Linked DNA regions of Lytechinus pictus. The protein of the gene in region 2 binds, or shares a complex with, the protein of the main gene of each other region. Links are inferred from orthologs where the notes say so. Each region holds a gene or a part of one and is shown on either strand. Other genes may lie near its edges. The genes, in order: vacuolar protein sorting-associated protein 72 homolog and mortality factor 4-like protein 1.

Region 1 (12,661 bases), on a different chromosome or scaffold from region 2:
GAGCCCACTGATTTCATCCTACATATTTGGGACTCATATTAAAAAATAGGATGTAAGTTTGACTACTTAAAACGTGCTTCTTCAAACATATTAGAAAAATAATGCTGGAAAAATGTTCACAATTTATATCAACATTGAATAATTATATTAAACACCCGACTCATGCCCTAAATGAAATCTTGTAATATAATGGAGATCCTTGAATATATGTCCATCCATGCCATCAAGGCTTTATGCCATGCATGCTATATGCGCAGATTGGGTTGGTATCAGATACCCCATTCCCATCAAGGTCAATGCACTGACTATAATAATTGTTACATTTATAAAGCGCTTATTACACTTTGTTTCTAAGCACTTTACATTGTAAATATCATTACCCCGATCATCGGATCCTATCATGCCCGCACACAATGTATGCACTTTCTCCACTCCTTGGGGAGCATTCCAACAAGAGTTCAAAGACTCAATTGCTAGGCATATGACATAGGTTTTCGCATCCTACCAGATATCCACTTAACACCTGGGTGGAGAGTGGCAAATTGTGGATTGAGGCCTTGCCAAAGGGCGCTAGGCCGCGGTGGGATTCAAACACACGACCCTCTGATTGCAAGGCAAGAGTCAGAACTGCTACACCACGACGCTTCATTTTCAGCTAGCCGAAAATCATTTTGGTCAGCCAAATAGAGTTTCAAGAAGTTACATAAGGCATAGAGGCAACATACATCTACAGCTTAGTAACATAACATCCCAGCTCAAGGATTCATAGATTTGAAAGTTAAAGGACAAGTCCACCCCAACATAAAGTATATTTTAATAAAAAGAGAAAAATCCAACAAGCACAACACTGAAAATTACATCGAAATCGGATGTAAAATAAGAAAGTTATGACATTTTAAAGTTTTGCTTCATTTCACAAAATAGTTATATGCACATCCTGGTAGGTATGCAAATGAGGAGACTGATGACGTCATCCACTCACTATTTCTTTTGTATTTTATTATATAAAATATGGAATATTCTAATTTTCTTCTTATCAAGTGAAACAACATTAATTCCTCCCTGAACATGTGGAATTAGCATTGTTTAACCCTAATTCTCCCGGGGGGGGCCATAATGGCCCCCCCCTCGACAATTTTCGCGATATATCTGCTTCGCGAATTTTTTTTACCTCGCCGCTCACTGACTTTTTACTTTCAAGTCTCGCGCAAATTTTGAGACCAAATTTGTGACGCCCGGGTACGCGGTTACGACATTACGCAACATTATATAAGTGCATGTCAGACCCAAAATTGCTCATAAACGTGATTTCATGTACAAATCCAATGCAAATAGTGTATTTAGCCAAAATTCATAAATGTATCATTATTTCTACTTTTACTGATTAAACTTAATTAATTTTGCCTTGTTTATGATCAGAATTAAGTCTGGAACGATTTCCATAGAAAAAACAATAAAAAACCAAAAGTAAAAAAACAAAGAAATACATAAGAAATTCATAAAACAATAAAATACATAAGAAATTGATTTCCAAACCGAAGTTTTTTTTTATTGCGATTGTTAAGAATGCTACAAAGAATATTTTTACCAAAAATTAGCATTCTAGGAGCTTTATTTAGTGAATTAGAGCAAAAAGTATGATTTATGCATAAATTAGCATAATTAATTCATATAAAATAAAATCTCAATATTTTGGAAAATTTTACCATACAGCCTTGTAGATTACATCACACACTACCAGCGTGCAAATTTTTGTGTCGCTCGCGCGATCGGCGGCCGAGATCTTAAGGGGGGGCCATAATGGCCCCCCCCCCCCGGGAATGACAAGAATCAAAATACCCCGGGAGCTTGAGGGTTAATACTATATGGTTCAATCAAGTTGGTCCTTATTGCCAAATCTGTAAACAATGAAATATTGTATAATTCAAACAATAAAAACAAAAGAAATAGTGACTGAGGGACATCATCGACTGTCTCATTTGCATGTCACTGAGTTGTGCATATCACTGTTTTGTGAAAAATAAGCGAAACTTTAAAATTTCACAACTTTCTTATTTTATGTCCGATTTCGATGAAATTTTTGGTGTTATGCTCGTTTGATTTTTTCTTTTTTTATTCAAATCTACATTTTTCTGGGGTGGACTTGACCTTTAAAACCTTACTGAGGAAGTTCATTCAGCCAGTCCCATCAAGGTTGACAAAACATTTAATCTCAAGCTTTAAGGTTTCAGAGATCTCATTTGGACTAAAGACTTTGTTCTATCCTGAAAATGGCACATACCTGAACTGGAATCTTCCTTGGAGTAATGTTTCTTCTTCTTACTGCTCGGTGTGGTAATTTTCGCTTTCTTTTCCCTTGGGGTGTGACTTGTGGGAGATTTTTTCATGACAGGCTTCTTGGCAGGCTCCTGGAATAGGAAGATATTTATAGTAAAATCAAACTCGAGAAGTTGCAACAAGAAATCATTTAGAGAGGGATTTGCAATAGCAGATTGTACAGTACTTCTGACTACTTCTACTACTGACAATTTCCTAGCATTATTTCAGCAATCTCATACTTTTACATTCTTGGTGAAGTAAATCTGAATTGCAATTTCATTTAATAAAATACAAAAAGAAAAGCAAGTATATGACATCAACTCCCTCTTATTTAAGTGATGACATGCACAGAAGTGTTGTAAAAATACATTAAATAAACTGTACCTTACCTTTGTTATTTTTAAAATCTAATTATCCATACATGTTTACATAGGGGAAATAACATGAGGGACACCGAACGTGTGATTCTTCAGTAGATGATCGCAAGAGCAATTTTGACTATCTATATATACCTTGAAAAAATTATAAGGTAACAGAGTACAATGATTGAAAATAAAAATGAAAAAGTAAGGTTTTACAAAGAAAAGGTGGTGAAACTATAACTTTGACAAGGGATAAGAGAGGGTCTAACCTTGTAGGATTTAGTAATCACTCTTCGTTTTCTCTTTGGTCCATCATCATCACTATCACTGATTGGTTCATCATCCTCTGGGGCATCAATATCACTATCAGATGATGAATCCGCTTCACTCTCCTCACTAGAATATTCCTCATCACCAGATTCCTGGAGTAATCACATATAACAGAATCTATCAACACCAATCGGGTATTATTCAGAAATGGGTCCTCAAGATGGTTTAAAACAGTAGTCTATCTGCATTTGAACTATGGGGAAATTTGCGACTCTAAAGTTTTTGTATAAGTTACTTGAGTTGATAATGATCCTGTTCTGAATCTTTTAATTATAACTTTTTAGGTTTCTAGTGTTGCTGTAGCTTGTTTGTGGTCTATATTATGGTTGTTCCACTTTATATGTTTGTCATTTTGCCTCCGACGAAGATTCTACTAGGATCGAAAACTTAGGCCCCTTTTTGACTTTCTAATTATTATTTTATATAGGAATCAGTTTAACAGAATGAGGTGATTTTCCCCCTTTTAGGTGGAAAAATAAAAGTAATTTTAATTCCAATCCATATGTAGGATTTACATTTCAGCCTGATATCAGCATATATCACTGAACAAATTAATACACAACCTAGATATTATAAAAAAAATGTGTATTTGGTCTACACTCTTTGCAATAGAATGATCTTATTCAATAAATAACTAGTTTTCACATGAACTGGCATATAGGCCTATACATATGTGACTCTGTGTAAGTCAAACTCTTTATGCCACATAAGCAAATAATACAATTTTATCAGTAGTTACTTTAAATTCTTACAACTTTTTGTCTTATGGAGAGCAGACTCATACAAAGTTATTATTTTGCAGACTGATTATGCTTAAAGCATACATTTCCATAGTTACCAGCCTGCAAATGCAAGCTTTAATAGTCTCAAATTAGTCATCTATACTGTTTACTTAAAGTAATCCTCACCTCCTGGAAACCTCCATATGTTGTTTTATAGAATTCATCCTCTTGTTCTTCAGCAAGGAGTCTGTGCATCTTGCTGCCAGCATTGGCACGCTTTTCTCTTGTCTGGACCAGTGACATGATTATAATAGTGTGATTCTCTAATGGACTGTGGTATAAGAAATGAGAAGAAAAAAATAGAAAAGTACCAGTGCTGGTTGAAACTGAAGACCCTTTTTTTTGCTTGTCAATTTTTTTCATGGACGAAATACCCTTAATTGTTAATAGTTAAAAACCTTTTTTTATGCTTGTCAAAATTTTCCTCAGGAAAATGTGCCCCCTTTTGGAAAATCCTGGATCCATCCCTGCTGGTTATCATCTTTGAACCTGTTTTATTTTACAAATTGTTCCAAGAAAATCTGAACTTCTAGACAGTAGACAAGCATTAGACCAAAAGCTTTGGTCTCTGTTATGTTGGTTGTTCCGCTGAACTCCGTTGGCTCCACTCACCGAATACAGAGACAGAAGTTCTAGCTCGATCTGTACAGGGGACTCAATGGCCATTTGTTTATGTATTAAGTTCGGATAAAACAGGGAAGTGAAGTTGCGCGACAGCCGAAGTCACTGTTTTTTCCCCTTTTAAGTTTATTTTTCCCCGTTTCGGTGCATTTCAGGCCAAAACGGAATGATAATCTTTATTTTGGTACAGTTCTTTTTATATATTTTTATGAAATAAAGACAAAAATCGATGAGCCCCGTCAGGGGGATTTTGCATTTTTAACCCCCTAATGGTGGCTGCACGATAGCGAGCCGTCTGTGTACGAGGAGAAATATATAAAAAAAATAAAATGTTTAAAAAAACTCTTCGAAACAGACGGCTGCCAGTTGTCTAGACAAGCATCAACTTTCAAGCAAACGCCATTTTTACACGCACATGTCCCTATAGTTAATTGGGATAAAAACAAATCCCATGGCATTTCAACCTCCATCTGATACAATTATTTTACCTTTGACTTGTCTGCCTTATTCTTTTCTAAAGGCAAGCTAACGTTAGATCTTGTCTTCTTGTCTTTCCGTTAATGCCCACAATCATTATATTGATTATTATGGCATATGAACGTCAAGATTGACTTGATCTAAAGTTAGTTCTTGAAGTTGAAAAGTGCGCAAATTGCAAATTATGCCTGCGCCTGTCACCCTATTCACTTCACTGTATTCATAATCATACCAACAGGCAACACACACACAAGATCGAAAACAGAATTTCACGATAAGGCAACGATTAGAATGTCAATGTAGCTTGGTTCAGTTGCTTTTCTCACTTTCTCAACACCAAAAAATTCATCCAAACTTGAACCGCTGAGGCTCGACAAACAGGCGCGGCGCGGAATGGCCGGACCAGGCTGGGGAGAAACTTCCCGCCGAACCGCGTACGTGGACCGCGGCGGCCTAGCCTACGACCTGCTACGTCCCTAGCCCGGCTGCAACTTTCAAACGTTAGGTGTGCTATAAATTCTATTTCGCACACTCTCTAAGTAATACTTCAGTTTGAATAATTGTAAAAGAATGTCATATGCATTTTGATTCACTAAAAACTTATGAAAATATTACCAGAAGAGTGAAAAAATGAAGAAACTAAACGCCGACTTGTGCAAAGATTTTTTTCCTGCAGGATAATTGCGTCATTGGGTGATTTCAAGTACGGTGTTGAAATCTGGTGTTGGTGTTGTGACAACACCAACACTAGCCACAACACCGTACTTGAAATCAGGATGGTGTTGGGATTGACCTCGGAAAATATGACTTATTTCCGGCAGTTCGTGTTGAATGCTGGTGTTGAATGTCGTCTGCTGAACCCAGCACTGCGGCTGGTGTTGACGATCTACGTGCAATTTCCCCATTCACCAACACCAACCCCCAGGGATTGGGAAAATCATGATTTCAAGTTCGGTGTTGGTGTTGGTGTTGGCAATCTCAAGCTCTTGAACAGGCGGCGAACACGATGAAACATCCCCGTAAAATTAGCTTTTACAGTTTAGCTAAGTACAAATCATTTGAGCTGTATATATTTTGATGAAGAATAATGTTCACTCTTTTGAATTCTTGAATTAATTAAAACATTTGTATTCTGAACGATGAGCATTTAATGCATTTCTCTCAGATTTCATTTTCGTCGTCGAGACTTCTCGCGTGAAGTTGAGATGATTTAGCAGCGCAGCGCAGAGGCGTGACGTCATGTGCTATCGATAACGCAATCGGTATCATTCCTCTGAACCCAGCTCGGTGTTGGAGCTCGGTTCAGCGGCCTTTTTATGCTCTCAACACCAACACCAACACCGAACACCAAACTTGAAATCACCCATTATATACCGATAAGTACCGGTTACCGTATACCGGTATATACGGTACCTTATCCGTATGCGTATCCGTCCCCGGCCCGTACTACGAAAAATAACACTAGTGCATTCATCACGCAAGTGCAAGTTGACTGGGTCCTGGGATTTGTGTTAAATTTTTTCTTCAAACAAACTAATAATCAATAAAGATAAAGAAATGCCATTTTTCAACAAAACCCCACACCTCGGAGCTGCCATATTAGGAGCTACGATGGGCAGTGTCGGGACTGTAATACCATTTATGATGTCTCTTTCGCCCTTCTCAGTCTCAGCATCAAGCGGAAATGGAGCTGGAGAGACCCCCAGAGCTTCGGCTTGCAAGGATGCCTCTATTCCGCTGGTTACACGTGATGATTTGGAGCTTAAGTTTGTGCAGATTTTGTTTAGACATGGTGCTAGAACGCCACTAGGATCTGGATGTATCCCAAAGTCTGAGCAGGTAGGGTGTTTAAATTGGCCATCTCACAGTCACAGCTTCTTACATTTTATTTTCACTCTTCACATTTCAGAATTCAAGTGCAAGTGAAGTGACCAGCCAACAATTTGCACTTGCTCTTGTTGCGGGGGGGGGGGGGGGGGGGGGGGGAGAGGAAGGAAGGGGGAAAAGTAAGAAATAAACACAGAAAAAGAACAATAAAAAAGAAGAAAGATAATAGCAAGAAAAGAAGGAATCAAGAAAGAAAGAATCAAAAGGAAGGAAGGAAAAAAAGAGAGAAAAGACAATTTAAACCAAAGAAAGAAAGAAGTATTATGAAAGGAAGGAAGAAAGAAAAAGAATGGAAGATAGAAAAGATTCTTTAATGGGAAGAGATGAAAGGAGAAAGAAAGGAAAGGACAGAGAAAATGAAATAAATGAAGGCTGAATGAGCTGGGAGTGGGGAAGAAAGGACGATGGAAGAAAGTAGGAAAGAAAGAATGAAAGGAAGATCTATGAAAGAAACTCTCATGTGAAATGATGTGATCATCGTTTATGTTGTTATCAATGTTATGTGATTTCTACAGCCGTCTTAGGTTAATTTGGGAGAGATTCTCCCATGAGTCCAATCCAACTGTATGAGAGGCGATCTGCCACATATGATTTTTCAAAATAGGGATATGAATTATAAGCAAATTTGATAAATCCTACATAGATTGAATCCTGTATAGTGATTGGTTCAAATAGCATCATGTGACCAAATATATTTCAACTATAATGTTTGTGACGTCAGACCTCGATATATTTTTCGCTATACCAATATTCTGACGTCATTATTTCAGAAAACTGGATATTTAGCTAAACTCTCGGGCGCACCGGCCAGCGAGCTCTCTCTCCCGGGCCGGGCAAGTCCCTTGATGCGTTGGCGCAGGCACTAATCTGCGTTTCGCTGAGCGCGGTGGCTCGGAGAAAAGTAGGTAATTCAACGCAAGTAACCAGACTTTGCAAGCTCAGCGCATAGATTTTGGTTATAAATTATTAAAAGTAGGATATAAAACAAAATATATCAGGCATTTCATTTGAAAGCATAGTGGGAATTATTAGTCCTCGGTTGGACTGGCAAAACTAATATATTTCTCTCGGGGTTTCGCCCCTCGGGAAAAATAGTAATTGCCAGACCAACCTCAGATAAATTCCACTATACTTTTTCAAAGCCTGATATATTTGTTAATTGTAGCCTTCTACTGTAGTTTCTTTTTTTTTTCATCCAGACATCCACAGACAAAACAACTTGGGTTCTGACCTTGATAAATCCTTGGTTTGAAAAAAATAATGCCTTGTTTTCAATATTATTTCTTTCTTTGATCAATTTGCAAAGCAAGTCTTTATTACTACTATACTAGTATATATTCCCATATACTGACATCCCTAAAACTATATGTAGCAAAGGTGTTGGTGACTTTGATTACAGTATATCTAGTAGATGCATGATTATAGTGAGCAGAAGTCATCTTTGTTTGTATACCAGCAAAAAAAAATATCAATTAGGTTTATGGTAGATGTGGTTGCTACTTTGATGGATGGGGTCAAACCAATTTATTTTTGTCTCGCCTGCATAGCAGAGCGAGACTATAGGCGCCGCTTTTCCGACGGCGGCGTCAACATCAAATCTTAACCTAAGGTTAAGTTTTTGAAATGACATCATAACTTAGAAAGTATATGGACCTAGTTCATGAAACTTGAACAAAAGGTTAATCAAGTATTACTAAACATCCTGCCTGAGTTTCAGGTCACATGATTAAGGTCAAAGGTCATTTAGGGTCAATGAACTTTGACCATGTTGGGAGAATTATTTTCAAAATCTTAACCGAAGGTTAAGTTTTTGAAATGACATCATAACTTAAAAAGTATATGGACCTAGTTCATGAAACTTGGGCATAAGGTTAATCAAGTGTCAGTGAACATCCTGCTCGAGTTTCAGGTCACGTGACCAAGGTCAAAGGTAATTTAGGGTCAATGAACTTTGGTCAAGTTGGGGGTATTTGTTGAATTACTATCATAACTTTGAAAATTTATGGATCTAGTTCATGCAACTTGGACATTAGGTTAATCAAGTACCACTGAATATCATGTGCGAGTTTCAGGTCACATGACCATGGTCAATGGTCATTTAAGGTCAATGAACTTTGGCCGTGTTGGGGGTATTTGTTAAATTACCATCCTAACTCTGAAAGTTTACGGATCTAGTTCATGCAACTTGGAGATAAGGTTAATCAAGTATTAGTGAACATCCTGTCTGAGTTTCAGGTCACATGACCAATGTCAAAGGTCATTTAGGGTCAATGAACTTTGGCCAAGTTGGGGGTATTTGTTGAATTACCATCATAACTTTGAAAATTTATGGATCTAGTTCATGCAACTTGGACATTAGGTTAATCAAGTACCACTGAATATCCTGTGCGAGTTTCAGGTCACATGACCAAGGTCAATGGTCATTTAAGGTCAATGAACTTTGGCCGTGTTGGGGGTATTTGTTAAATTACCATCCTAACTCTGAAAGTTTACGGATCTAGTTCATAAAACTTGGACATAAGAGTAATCAAGTATCACTGAACATCCTGTACGAGTTTCAGGTCACATGACCATGGTCAAAGGTCAATGAACTTTGGCCGTGTTGGGGGTATTTGTTGAATTACCATCCTAACTCTGAAAGCTTATGGATCTAGTTCATAAAACTTGGAATATAAGAGTAATCAAGTATCACTGAACATCCCCTGTGAGTTTCAGGTCACAAAACCAAGGTCAGTTAAGGTCAATTGGGGTAATTGTTGAATTGCCATCATAACTTTGAAAGTTTATAGATAGAGTGAATGAAATGTGGACATGGGTGTAGTTGACAAGTCTTAAGTCACCGTTCAAATGTCATTTATGGTCAATGAACGGTATTATGTCATTATATGAATGATGTTTTTGTGAATGATTATTTTATAGTAGTTTTCAAAGTTAGCACTGCTGCTAAAATCGCGTAATGCAGGCGAGACTGCCAGAGGCGTTCCACTTGTTTTATTATAATTGTATTATAATATAGTTCATCAGAAATCATATTCCTTTCTTGTCTTATATATCTAGGCCAGTCATAGTGCTGTCATCACTAAGTAAACTCATCACTATCACTTTGCTCATCATCATACTCACCATCAAGATATATATAGTGTTTTTTTATCATAAATGAGATTGCACAGTGAACACACTTAAAGGTGATTTTGTTATGCCTTTTCTAATTTAATTTGATTTGAAATACAATATCTCTGATGAACAGAGAAGTAATGTTATGAATTCTTAAATGCAAAATAAAATGCAACAACAAGAGAGCAGCACTATTTACAAGTAGGCTTGCATAAAGGATGTTGAAAGAAAACAAATGCTACATTGGACTACTTAAATCATTGATCAGACACCTGACAATCACTGTATTGAGCTTACAGTATGTGTACAAAAATTAATCTGTTCACTGGTCAACAGTGTACTTGTTATATTTCAAGAGGTTCGTGAACTAAAATCATTTTTTTTAACCTTCGCAGATTGATTTGGAAATAGTGGAAAATGAAGTGAATTACGCTGTGTCATTTCAAATGAACTTGAAGAATGCAAGATTATTAATCAAACATTTCTTTTTTTGTCACTATTACAGAGCGTTTGGGATAAAGATACTTTATTCCAAGGAGAAGCTGATCTATGCATTGATTACAAAGTTAGGGCTTTAGATGGAAGACCACAGCCTGAATGGAAAATTGAGCAGTACTACAGAAAGGCTCCACTAAAGGTATGTTTGTTACAAGTATATTCACATGTTTGGATGAATTTCATAAATCATGTGGTAACAAAATTTCAAGTTTCAAATAACATACAAATGCAATACAGGCTTCCTGTGCTTTATTCAAGCCAGTCACCAGTGTGCAGGAGATGCAATCTTTTGCACATACATGTAGGCAGACCAATAGAATAAATAAATTTAAATCAAAGTGTCACAGTTAACCAGCTTCATTAGAACAAAATTTAATAAGAATTTCATGATATTGGATTTCAATCAACCAGGTTGGACTCTAAAAATGAGATTACTGTGCAGGATTTTTTTTTTTTTTGGGGGGGGGGGCTTAAATACAATTGTTTAATTCTGTGTACATGTACATATGTGCAACCATATTTTTTAATGTACTTTTATAGCACTACAGGCAAATAGATTCAAGCATGCAGAAATGATCCCACTGTGTAATCTTATTTCCATAGCGCTGGTTGGTTGATTACAGATTTGAAATCAGTATATGAAAGTTTTAATGTAGATAGGAAAATTCAGTTCCAGCAAACCAGAACTATTCATAGTATTTTTATTAAAATTCTTGTTGATTTTTGAAATTTTGAATTTCTTTATATTAAACTGGAAACAGCATTTCATAGATTTGTGTTTTGTCATTTTTTTATTTGCCAACTGTTATGCATTTGCCAAATGATATGTTTAGATTACAGTGTTACATTATTTTTCAAACAATATTGATGATAGGACAAACTGCACTGCATTTCACTGAAACCAGCAAACAAACAAGTTTACATGTAAACATATTTTCCTTGTGTCTGTAATACTCAGGGTGGATCTTTTAAAGGTCAACTTACAGCCAAAGGTATGAAACAAGCCAATGATCTTGGAAAGGAATTGAGAAGACATTACATGGAGAAACTTGGATTCCTACCCAAGGAATTCAATCCACAACTGGTATAGTAAGTGTTTAGTAGAACCAAAGTTTCATGATGGTCAAATATAATAATGAAGTGCCTGTTTATCAAGTATAGATTGTAGTAACCCAGGGGGTGCATTGTGGTTCGCCTCAACCTTTTGCAAGATAAAACTGTAACATGAAAAGCTTGCACTGAAATGTGTCATTACTTTTTTTTATTTTAAGTCTTATGCAACATATGGAACTGATTTCTGATGCCTGTGTTCGAAGTTTCAATGTCAAACAACATTTTGTAAGTTAATGTCAGACTCTGAAACGCAGCAAGCATGATTTCACATAACTATCTAATGCAAATTCTGTTTCTAGCCAAAATTCTAAAATCGATCATTAGGCCTATATTTACTTAAATTACTGATTGAAATCAATTAATTTCATGTTGTCTATAATCAGAATAGTATATCGAACAATTTCCATGGAAGAAACAGATAAGAACAAAGAGTTAAAAATGAAATAAAATAAATACAAAATATCAAATAAAACCAATGAAATACACAAAATTTAAACACACTTTATGAGAATTGCCCAATTAGTCTCTAAACAAAAATTAGCAGTTCAGTTGTATCAATCATTGATTGACAGCCAAATTTGACTTTCATGCTGCATGAATAGTGAAATTTAGCTATGCAACCCCATAGATTACATAATTTTCTACCATCCAATTTATTATCATGAGCAGCCGAGATCTTAGGGAAGTCCTAGAATACAGACGTAATGGTTATCAAGTATGGCCAATCGCACAACTAGAATGACCGGTTATTAGTTCAAGGTCAGAGGTCATTCAGTTCATTGCACTATGATGAATATTCATATTAAAAAATGATTATATTTTAAATATTTTTTATCATATTTAAAGAAACTTGTATGAACTAAATAGCATAAATTTAAGTTCAAAGGTCATCTGAGGTAAATAACTCAGTAAGTTATTATTATATTTTTCACAAAATTAGGACAATAATATACCTTTTCTTGTTTTTATTTCTTTTCCATGTGTGGTGAGGAGAATCGTATCATTTACATTGTTTTAACTTTGGTTTAAAATTCTCTTATTTTGACTACAGTACCAGATCTACCAATATTAATAGAACATTGCAGTCACTTGGATGTTTGCTTGGTGGTTTATACGGTGATACTATTTCAGCCAAAGAGTGTAAGATTTATCATTAAT
Region 2 (12,590 bases):
TGGCAGAGGTAAAAATGGCAGAGGTAATAATGGCAGAGGTAAAAATGGCAGAGGTAATAATGTCAGAGGTAAAATGGCAGAGGTAATAATGGCAGAGGTAAAAATAGAGCCTTTCTGCTTAATATCAGTCATATTCATTGACCTTATCCTATCGACGAAATGAGTATTTATGAACTGATTAGATAATATTTGGATTTTTCTTCATCATTTTAGGTCTATATTTTATCGTTGATTAAACTCAAACATTTTCATGCCAAAATGATTTCAATTAGCCAGTGAGTGATGAAAGGACTTATCTTGGCCAGTTCGTATAGTAGAACAGCACTTCACCACATACATACCGAACGAATTTAATGTAAACATCAATGTGCGCTAACATTAACACTGAAATAGACAAGTTCGGGATTTATTTGAACCACTTGCATAACTTGGATAACAGAAAAATAACAAAACGTTCTGTAATAAAAGTAATCTTTCATATTTCAACATCATAATGGATCCGAATAGATATTGATATGATACGTGTATAGTTTCATGTAAATGATATAATAATCATGATAATAGCAACTAGAGTTCAGTTTTTCAGAGCAATACCTCATTGCAGCTAGTCCAAGTGGACGTCAGGTTCCTAAATTAGTTTCGATGGTAGTTTCTAGTGTAGCGAATCAGGGATTTAAATTTATAATAATAATGATAATAATAATTCAATACTTACAAGCGCCAAACAAAATTTCTCTAAGCGCTTTACATCACAAAACCTAACTACTTAACTTAATAAACTAAACTCACTTATCAACTTAACTACCTTACATAACTAAACATCCAACGTAACTACCTTACATATCTAAAATACTAACTTAACTACGGGCATATTAACTGTAAAAAATCATACTATTTACGGAAGAGATATGTCTTAAGTGCTACTTTAAAGGAACGTAGAGAAGAATGGGATCTTAAGCTAAGAGGAAGTGAGGAAATTTATAGGTGTTTTTAAATACCATTCTATTGACCAGTTTTGAAGGGGAAATTCACCATGACAAATGGTTTACTGTAAAAATAGCAGAAAAAAAATATATTGAAGGTTTTCGGAAAACCCATCAAAGATTAAGAATTTTTTTAGAAGTTTGAGTTTTTGATCTGTGACGTCATATACTAGCAGCTGCCCCGTATTTTATGCACCAAAATGTATACTCTTCATTTTTTTAATCAGTGGTTCATGATTGCTAAAAACAATATTTCAGGAGCGGATGTAAAATGATTTGTATGTTAATATACTTAAGGTACAATAAAAACCATTTCTTTTTTTTTGGAAATGACATTTCATTGATATTTGTTAATACACCATATATGGGAAAAACTGCTCGCAAATGACGTCACCGTTAAAATGTAAAATTATAATAGCTCTTTTAATCTTTGATGGATTCGCTAAAACCCCTACCAATATCATTTTAATTATTTTCTGCTATTTTTACAATAAACTTTGTCCTGTAATGAATTAATTACAATACTTGGGATCCAAAGAGTGCTTCAAATTTGAATATTAGAAGAGCGATTTGACATGAGAAGGCCATGCATGTAAGTCCAGGAAAACAATTAGAAATACCAACTCAAGTGTTATCAATTTGGTGCAGAAGATTAACAGTATGATTTAAAAATTTTACCCTTTCCATTAGTCCAACATTATAATTCTAATTTTCTTCTCAAAACTTTTCTTTTTTAATCTACTGTACGAGGAGGGGCTTTGGATTTTTTGGCATGGGGATTTAAGACTGGCCATTTATACATCTATCATTTTTACCTCTGCCATTATTACCTTTGCAATTTTTACCTTTGCCATTTTATCTCTGCCATTTTTACCTCTGCCATTATTACCTCTGCCATTTTTACCTCTGCCATTATTACCTCTGCCATTTTTACCTCTGCCATTTTTACCTCTGCCATTTTACCTCTGCCATTTTTACCTTTGCCATGGTTACCTCTGCCACTTTTACCTTTGCCATTTTTATCTCTGCAATTTTTACCTTTTGCCCTTTTTATCTCTGCCATTTTTACCTTTGCCATTTTTCCTCTGCCATTTTTACCTCTGCCATTATTACCTCTGCCATTTTTACCTCTGCCATTATTACCTCTGCCATTTTTACCTTTGCCACGTTTACCTCTGCCATTTTTACCTTTGCCATTTTTACCTTTGCCATTTTTACCTTTGCCATTTTTACCTTTGCCATTTTTACCTTTGCCATTTTTACCTCTGCCATTTTTACCTTTGCCATTTTTACCTTTGCCATTTTTAACTCTGCCATTTTTACCTTTGCCATTTTTACCTTTGCCATTTTTTCCTTTGCCATTTTTACCTCTGCCATTTTTACACCGAGCCGATCATGCAACCTAAGACTTGTCAGTGATACTTGATTACCCCTATATCCACATTTTATAAACTAAATCTATTAACTTTGAAAGTTATGACTGTCACAGCAATCTAATAATTACCACCAAAATGGCCAAAGTTCAATTACCTTAAACGACCTTTGACTTTGGTCATGTGACCTGAAACTCACATGAGATGTTCAATGATACTTGATTAGCCTATGTCCAAGTTTTATGAACTAGATCCATACACTTTCAGAGTTATGATGGTTATTCAACAAATACCCCCCCCCCAACATGGCCAAAGTCCATTGACCTTTGACCTTGGTCATGTGACCTGAAATTTGCACAGGATGTTCAGTGATACTTTATGTCCAAGTTTCATGAATAAGATCTATAAACTTTTAAAGTTAAGATGGTAATTCAATAAATACCCCCTATTTGGCCAAAGTTCATTGACCCTAAATGACCTTTGCCCTTGGTCATGTGACTCAAAACTCAGGCAGGATATTTAGCAATACTTGATTAACCTTATGTCCAAGTTTCATGAACTAGGTCCATATACAGTTATGTTATGATGTTATTTCAAAAACTTAACCTTAGGTTAAGATTTTGATGTTGATTCCCCCCCAACATGGTCTAAGTTCATTGACCCTAAATTAACTTTGACCTTTGTCATATGACTCAAAACTCAGGCAGAATGTTCAGTAATATTTGATTAACCTTATGGCCAAGTTTCATGAACTAGGTCCATATACATTCTAAGATATGCTGTCATCTCAAAAACTTAACATTCGGTTGAGATTTGGTGTTGACGCCGCCGCCGTCGCCGCCGCTGTCGGAAAAGCGGCGCCTATAGTCTCACTCTGCTTCGCAGGTGAGACAAAAAAGAGAAAAGGAAAGGGATAAGAAAGAAATATAGGCCTATTATTTTCCAAGTGTTATGTAAAAATCTATCACAAACTTTGATTTTTGTAATAAAAATGTCAACATTTTTGCTCGCTCGCTTCGTTCGCAACTTCTTATTAATTTTGCGCAATACGCTGTATCGAGCCCCCCCCCCCCCCCCCCAATTTTTTTTTGCTCATTACGCCACTGGGACAACCCCTTCAGAGAAACAAACAAAAATCAACTTTGAGCGGACGATCGCGGAAAATATGGGTGAAAAAAATTCGGCCCCCCCCCCTATTGGCGGAAGCTGGATCCGCCCCTGTACATGTACATGCCACAATCAAGTTATCGACCTATTTACTTAAATATAATACCCTGACGTTATTGAAATAGTTGATTGACCTCTAACCCCTAAATATATTTTTCATGGCCATTATTTATCCTTATATTTCAGAGTGAAATTATTGAACTTCCAGGTTTTCATTACAAATAGCCACCTTTCGTTCTATTTTTTACAAATAAAATGTGAATATAATGGATTAATTTCTTTTTTGGGGGAATCATGCATGGATATGTTATACAGATATTGCCTACCTAGAGTTTGAATATAACATTTCCTCTCCCCGACGGAGTTATATTTTTCCAAAGGGATTATATTTTGCCCGAAGCGCGCAGCGCTGAGGGAAAATATTCTCCCGAGGGAAAAATATAGCTTCGGAGGGGAGTTGAAATGTTATTTATTAAAACGATAGTCCAGGCAATATCTGTCATATTATATAGTCTATATGGATCAGAGATTAATTGCCTTCATCATCTGGCCCCAACCCGAAATTCTTGCTACAGCTCTGATCCGTCTACGTCATAATAGAAAAAAATTGGAAAATACATCAAGCGCGTTCTTCATGCAATCGACGCATTAAAGGGATGGTCCGGGCTGAAAGTATTTATAGCTTAATAAAAAGAGTAGAATTCACTGAGCAAAATGCTGAAAATTTCATCAAAATCGGATAACAAATAACAAAGTTATTGAATTTTAAAGTTTAGCAATATTTTGTGAAAATAGTCGTCATGAATATTCATTAGGTGGACTGATGATGTCACATTCCCACTTGTTCTTTTGTATTTTATTATATGAAATTAGGTTTATTCAAATTTTTTCCTCCAAGAACTAGAAAAATTGGATTGACAAATGATTTAGTGCATTAGATATTTATTGCTGCAACTTATTTCATTATAAGGGAGACATTATTATTCACACAAGTATGAAATAATGAAAAAAATATGATGTTATGTAATAACATAAGAAAGCGGAAAGTGGAGATGTGACATCATCATCCCACCTAATGAATATTCATGACTACTGATTTCACAGAATATTGCTAAACTTTAAACTTCAATAACTTTATTATTTGTTATCCGATTTTGATGAAATTTTCGGCATTTTGCTCAGTGAATTCTACTCTATGTATTATAAATAAATAATATAAATATTTTCAGCGCGGACCATCCCTTTAACACTAGCGCGTACATCAAATAAACTACATGATAACGCAACTTGTAAGCAGCGAGTGACGTCACCTTAGTGAATATAACGCCGCAATTGAAAATACAACGCAGTTATATTCACTGAGGTGACGTCAAAACCTCGAATATACCAAATGCGATCCTCGCAGCTATGATCACGTGATGGCGTATTGACCTATCACTGATTCGAACCTACATAAGCTATGTAATATAGATATTTATTAACTTTTGACCTTTGACTTTGGATATCAGAAGTGAATGATTATTCTTTATGATTATTTTTTGCCTTTTTATATATTCTTGCAAAATTGCTTTTGGCACCAAAATCACCAACATGCAGTGTTTTATCTCAGATATATCATTATACGATATATATCCTATGTAAAAAGGTCATTGACCTTTTGACCTTGAACTTTATGGATTAATATGCATTCTAGGTGATTAACTTTATCTTATTTGTCCTTCCTGTAATAAGCTGTGCATTTTGACACGACGATCACCAACCTAGCTGCCCGGGGGGGCACTCAGTATATAATGCATAGTGGGTATGTGCCGCGGAGGGGACCCCCATTACACTCAAATTTCCGTTCCGAGGCACAGCATTTTTGTCTTATTGAGAAAAAGAACAAAGAAAGCCGCTCCAGAGCATAGCATTTTCTTCTTCTCGAGAAAAAAGAAGAAAAAAATCCGCTCCAGGGCTTCGCGTATTTTCCGTTACGCCGTTCCGGTCGCAATTTTGGTGAAAAGCGGCCGCAGCTCGCTGTCCGTCGTGCCGCCGGATTAGCTCCATGTACGTTCCATAGGGATGCATACGCACTCGCACGCAGGCGACCCGTTCCAAGGACCCCCGTTTTCACAAACATTTGTAGTTCCGAAGCTCGTTCCGAGGACCCTCCTTTTTACAATGAGCCCGCTCCAAGGCCCCCGTTTTTTGTCTCGCCCGCGGCACACCCCTTCCACTTTTTTGGTCGAGTGCCCCCCCCCCGGGCCTAGCTGTGCCGTTCAATCTCAAAGATACTATTATACAGTAGCCTATGATACGTAATGTAAAAAAGGGTAATTGACCTTTGAAAGGCTTTGACCTTGAATGCTATTGTTTAATGTGCATTCTAGGTACACTATTTTATTTTATTTGATCTTCCTGTTAGAACCTCTGCATTTTGACGCCAATTAAGATCACCAACCTGCACCTTTTCATCTCAGAGTACCGTATGGTATAATGTATATAATAAAGGTCATTGACCTTTGAAAGGCTTTGACCTTGAATTTCATGGGTGAATGAGCATTTTAGGTGCTTAATTTGATTTTATTTGATCTTCTTTTAAGAATCTAGCTGTGCATTTTGACACCATGATCACCAACCTGTAATATTTTATCTGGGAGCTACCATTATACAGTATATTTGAAAAGGTCATTGACCTTTGACCTTGAAAAATCCCACAGACTTTCCCCAACCCGTATTCCTCCTAACTTTTTTGGTAAATGTTGACATCACCCATATACCTACTCAAATCAGTCCAAAAACCATTTCCAATAATTTCATTCCAGATGGTTACTAATATAATTGCGGGATACTAATGGTGCTGAAGTAAATTAAGTCAAAAAGGGGGGGTCAGTTACAAAATGAAGGTCGTTTTGGTTCAAAGAAGTCTGACAAGCAAAAAAAATAAAAAGGTTAGTTTCAACACGAAATTTTACATATATTTATCTAATTGACACACCTATACCAGAATTCAGGGGGTGCTGCCTATGAATAATAATACACGCAGCATATCCCCTGGGAAAATATGGGGGCAGCACCCCCGCTTCCTAGGTCCCGTGGGGAAAGAAGCTTCCTCTCAAGAAGGCTCCAAATCAAAGCAGTGGCAAAAATAGTCATTTTTTGACTGGTTGCCAACACGTACACCACAAGACAGAAGAAGAGGGCCCTAAGTTCTGCTCGGAGTCAGTCAATAGAATAAACTCAAGATGAAATAAACTCCGTAAGTCGTTATAACGAAAGAAATTTCACGAATTTTCGCCCATAGGGCTTTGTCAAGTTAGGATCAAGATTTGAAATTGCGTCATGATAAAAACAGTATGCGCGTACGTAGCTATAGCTAGTGAGAGAGAGAGAGGGGGGGGGGAGGAGGGGAGAGGAGGAAAGAATATATATAGGCCTATTATAATTATTATTATTATTATTATTATTGTTAGCATTATTATCATTATTATTAGTAGTAGTAGCAGTAGTATTATTGTTATTATTATTATTGTTATCATCATTAATATTATTATTGTTATTATTATTATTCATTATAGGCTATTTTTTTGAAGTCCCATAATAAGAAATCAGAGATTATATTATTTGACCGAGCCACATGATGATTGATAAGTAGTATATGACATAGAGATATATTACTTGTTGTAAACGGACCCCCCCCCCCCCCCCTCCACCTCCAAAAAAATTGTTTTCCTTCACGATTACCTGCACATACACGCAGCGAGCTAGCGCTCGCGGCCCGCGGCCCAGCTAGGCAGCTATCGCTAAAAATAGCGCAGCGTAGCGTCAAGGTAAAAGGTCAATTGATGTCAAAGACCGACCATGGCACCTGTCAAGACAAAGTTTTCGGAAGGTAAATGCTATGTTTTATGTGAATATTTCATTTTTATTTTTATCCTGCATGTATTATGCGGAGAGATACGTTAATTTGTATTTTGTAATACTTTTGTAATCTCTTTCTTACTCCGATATTTCAAGAATTGTTGAAAGATCGCACGTGAAATCCGTGAAATGCAAGCTTTGTTGGAATACGGTCCCACATGTGCATTCTCTCGTAGGCCTAGTAGTCGCTATAGTAATATAGTAATTAGTATAGTCACGTATTGTATTACCGGACACTATTCACTCTAGGCGACACCCCAATACTTACCCGTGCTAATAAACTGGGACTCCACTCACGCGCGTTTGGGCCTCCCTAGCTTAGAACTAAGCACTAATATCACCTTAAAAACTAAATCTACAAGGTATGTATAATCTATTTACAAATTTAATAATGTTTAATCGGTACTCACCGGTTCTTTTGTTGCATTTTCAGACCATTTCTCACAATTCTTCGTAAATATTTGCGGCAAATTTTGTCGCCATAGACAGCTTAGCGTCCATCTTTATTGATAAATGGAGCGCCCTTTACGATAGTTGTTAATGCCGCGGAGAAATCGTTAGGCATTTTGGCCTGTGTTCAAGGCGTTCTTTCTGTTTTATTTTTTATATTGAAGATTGTGCATTTGTTGAATAGCGCCGTCTACGTCAGGTATGAGATCGAGTGTATAAATACACTCTTCCAAAATAATTATGATTCCGACCTGGCGCTGTTTAACTTCAATCTCTTTCACCTAAATTAGCGATGAATGCTAGCATTATAAAATATATATTATTAACGTCTGACGAAAAGAATAACCAACCGATCAGCTGACGAGAACGCGAATCACGTGATCTTCATATCAGCTTCGATCGCGAGTCAGAAGAGAAGAGCAGCTGCCCAGAAAATCAGGAAAAAGCCGTGAAAATGTAAGTTCCCCTTCATTTCTTTCATTTTTTGTTGTTGCTAACGATGCATTTACACTATAAAATTATAATTTAAATAAGAGAAAGGAATTATAGCTTGTACTTGTGATATAATGTTTAAATATCCTGTTCTCAGAGATTTCTAACCAAAAATACTACTGATGTCGCCTATGAGGTCCATACATGTAATGTTGGACCTCATTGGTACTAGGAGTGACACTATTATAATTCCGGACGCGCATATTACTGCGTTCGAAAACCATTTCGTACGGTAAGACTTCCGCAATTCAGTTTCACAGAGCAATACATAGAACAGGATTGCAAAAACAAGGCGAAAAAAATCCAACTTTTAACTTATTATCTCTAAAATGACAGAAAATGCTTAAAATATCAAATAACATAGTTTTGCATTAACAATTGATATATTTTCTAACGGAAATATGGGTCTGATCTGCCGAATTTCAATCTCGTCCGCTCCTTCGATCGAATGATGAGGTGTGGTGTAAAAAAATGGGTGATCGTCGATGGCTAGTTCTCAAGGTACCCGTGCGCGAGGTTTACCGTGACTTTGTGAGTATAGAGCCGTCGACGATCGGCAGCGCATCGATAGAACTTGATGAGCGTCACGATACGAACGAGCATAATATTGGAAAGTTCCATGAAACATGCATCTAACAAGAAAAAATAAAGTAAGTTATCAAACACGAATTTATTACCAACATCTGCTCAGAATCGATATAAGAACAGCAAACAAAAACTTAGAATTTACTCATGATATGATATAAGAAGAAAAAATCACACAAATTTGTTCTTACATCATTATAATCAAGAATATCTTTACCCGTCCGGCGCGCGTTCAGAATCATGATGTAATTTGTCACGCACAAACATTATTGTTTTTCGTGGAGGGGTATGCAGCAAGTGCGATGCAAAGAAACAGTTGGTAAATATCAAATAAATTTATATTCATAATTTTCGTAATTGGAATAGCAACTAGCAAGTGCGAATTTTTCTTGAATGTATTTCCTCTAATTGTCATTTTCAAAGCACTGAAATATAGGTGTAGCAGAGCTGCCAACCAGTACGTATTTAGTATGTTTTTTGCAATCAAAATAAGACTGGTCAGGACAGTACGTTTTTTCTTTTAAAAATATGATTTTCATAAAACTTACACAATGTAATTTCAGGTAACTTGGTTTTTTTTTTTCAATCATTTTGTTAAAACCAGGGTGAGATATACACGTGTTTCAATGTTGTTTTTTTCATCTGCAAGAGCAGTGTGCATTTAAGCTTGCATGCAGCTTGAGCGCCTCGATGAGCGTGCATGCCACGCATTTTATTGTGAGATACATTTTTTGGGGGGAAAATACTTTTTTTTTATCACAGAATACAATTTTTCATTTCCAGAGGTTCCAGAGGTCTGGTGAAGAGGTGTAAAGAATACACTACCATACCTAACACGGGGCTCCACCGGGCCGTGGGCACTCGTTCAATGAACAAGGTTATGATATAGCCTTGTTCTCGGTTATGTGGAGAAATAAGGTTGGCAATTTTGGGCTTATTATTATCTCTTGTTCTTAGGGACAAATGATTGATTTTTTCAAATTGTCATTTTCCATTGATCACAACCACTCAATGAACAAGGTTATGATATATTGGGGTCGGGACAAGTCGGACTGCGAGCCGAGTTGTCCCACCCCTTTTCTTTTTTTTCCCCCCAATTTGTGTCTATTTTTCAGTCATTTCAAAATTTCTTGTAACAATTTCTTGGAACAAGACCTTCTTTCCTTGTGACCTCTGGTTAACTTTGTGAAGATGTAGATCTAACCAGCGGTAGATATACCGAAGGGTAGTACATTCAAGACAAAGTATCTCTTCTGACCATGGAACTCCAAACAAAAACCTAGATATTTCCTATGTTTTTCAAAATTTCCACATGATGGTATGCTGATTTAAGATCATATGTGAAAATGTTATCCCCTCATTCAAATAACATCACTAGCAACCGAGGCATCTTCGTACTTAAATTTGTTCTTGTACAAATGTGGATTGATATGCCTACAGTCTAAGACTAGTCTAAGTTCCCTTGTTTTCAGACACTGTTAAAGGATTAACAACTGATGGCTTATATTCCTCTTCTGAAACGCAACCTCTCTCTATCAATTTCCCAATTTCTTCCTCTACGAAATTTGAATGATTATGTGCAGATCTGTTATTAGTGAGCTCTCAATCATCAGGCAATGTATGTTAATACAATTTGTAACCGTTCTCGATAATGTCTAAAATCTCCTTACTTGCGCCGAATTCTGTGAATTCACTAGCATTTTTCTTTCAATTTTCCAACAGGAGAAACATTCTCCTTCTCTCTCGAGTCTACCAACTCAATATCTTGACACTCAACTTCATTTTCCTTTGCGGAATGTATCAATTCTGTATTTTGTTCTTGTTTAATTTCAGATATCACTTTTCCATTTTGGGGGAACTATCGGATACTATTGTTCTATACTCAAGAAAAAACTTAGATTCACTTATCTGATCTGAACGGCTGCCTCTAATGGATAATCCACCTTCCAATGGCCTGGTTTTCTGCAGGAAAAACAGATGCCGGGCTTCTTCCGGTCCTCTGGTGTTGTTCGACCAAAAGGGGTATAGGATGACGATGTGTGGCTTGGTGTGGGATCTTGCTCTCTCTGGAAACCTGGATGACTTTTCCATGGTGAAGATTTGGTTCCCGACATAAGGAAAATAAAACCTTCCTTCTGGTTTCTTCGCCTTCCTTTCCGCTCTCGCCTTGGCTTTGAACGTGGCTGTGCTTTTCATCGTCTGAGTCATTGGCTAATGTGTTCTGCTCATACTCATTAACAAGCTTCCATCCTAATGGCGACTTGTTGGCCATTTTGATAAGTTTTGTCTTTTTTCGATGATTTCCATACCTTCGGCGATCTTTTCCTTGGCGTCTAAAACTGCTGATGGCCTGTCCTGAGCTCCCTCGAGATAGTGATTGGCTTCTACAAGCTTCCTGTGTATCTTTACGTTGACCTAATGCTGTTCTTTGTTTCCTCTCCTCTGGAATTTGTAGTCGTCGGAATGCATTTCTCGAATCTTGGCAACCTGGGCGTCGTTTAGGATTTTCTGTGTTTTTCCAAAAGACTGCTGATAATTGTTCAGCCTGCTTGATATCAGATTATCGAGTTCAGATAGGAGATTGTTCTGAGTTTGACTCGTCTTAACATAGATCAACTCTGCAACTTTCGACGAATTCCATGTTGGTTTATTGGAAGCTCAAAAAAAGATGTGCTAGTATCAGTAGTGTGGTGCTGTAGGTTAGAATGAATATTGGCGTTCTCTACGCCCAACTCAAGAATCTACATCTTTTCATATATTCAAATTACCCTATACGTCATATTCAAATTATCAAATGTCATCAAGACCGCTATGCTTGCCTGACTTAGCTTTTGTACGTTCCCGTCTAAACAAAGTTTAACCAGCTATACTCCGTCATGCTGGAAAATAAATTTATGTTTTGACCTCATTGGTACTAGGAGTGCACGACGACGAGTTGTGCTATTGTGATGCGTGTCTAACCTAAATTCGACATGCAGGTGTACCAAGATTTAACAGTCAATCACAAGCCAGCATGCACATTCAATCACCAATGCACCAAACAGGAGCACCCATTTGTATACTCATCAGTGTCATGGAAAGTCTGATTTTAACTTCATAAATCTAACAAGTTAGAATTTATAGAAAACTAAATTTTGCCGTAAAAAATGTGGAATCTGATATGGCTTATTTCCAAAGCATGCAGAGGCTTATCTCGAATTTAAGAAACCGGGTCGCCAAAAGTACGCAAAAACAGAAAAAGTCGACCACATTGAATTTGTACATAAATAAAGTCAACTGATACATTCGGGTTGCCTTGATTTGACTGTGGATTTTAGCGCAGTGCGAGTGCGAATAGTTCTGGGTTGCAGTTCAGCTGCTCTCATATGCATTGACTTTTGAATGCGCTGTGCGCTATGTCCAAGCACAGCCGTGAAACATTGTTAGTACATCTCAAGATTACAATAAATATTGAGATGAAAGTTGAAATTTAACATGCAATTTAAAATCAGACAAATATATTAAACATTGGTGAATATTGTTTTTGTGAAAAGAAAGTTTTTTAAAAATATGGCAGAAAAGCTTCTATACTGTAGAAGTCAAATCTTCGGCTCTAGATTTGATATTTCCTTTTTTTTAATGTGTGGCAGTATTTACCAGT

What was found.
Region 1: mortality factor 4-like protein 1 (region 2) and vacuolar protein sorting-associated protein 72 homolog share a complex: the UniProt entries of both Drosophila melanogaster proteins name them as parts of the tip60 chromatin-remodeling complex. The link is inferred for Lytechinus pictus from reciprocal best matches to the Drosophila melanogaster genes MRG15 and YL-1.

What each region holds. Positions count from the first base shown.
Region 1 is NC_087247.1:35,239,679-35,252,339, reverse strand, and holds the start of vacuolar protein sorting-associated protein 72 homolog, read right to left. Parts: upstream 5,323-12,661; 5' UTR 5,241-5,322; coding exon 5,218-5,240; intron 4,065-5,217; coding exon 3,920-4,064; intron 3,104-3,919; coding exon 2,951-3,103; intron 2,409-2,950; coding exon 2,282-2,408; intron 1-2,281. Other genes in the region: lysophosphatidic acid phosphatase type 6-like, read left to right, coding at 6,449-6,730, 10,398-10,529, 11,349-11,479, 12,555-12,643. UniProt on the Drosophila melanogaster protein: Part of the Tip60 chromatin-remodeling complex which is involved in DNA repair. Upon induction of DNA double-strand breaks, this complex acetylates phosphorylated H2AV in nucleosomes and exchanges it with unmodified H2AV.
Region 2 is NC_087249.1:20,515,045-20,527,634, forward strand, and holds the start of mortality factor 4-like protein 1, read left to right. Parts: upstream 1-7,303; 5' UTR 7,304-7,363; coding exon 7,364-7,394; intron 7,395-12,590. UniProt on the Drosophila melanogaster protein: Part of the Tip60 chromatin-remodeling complex which is involved in DNA repair. Upon induction of DNA double-strand breaks, this complex acetylates phosphorylated H2AV in nucleosomes and exchanges it with unmodified H2AV.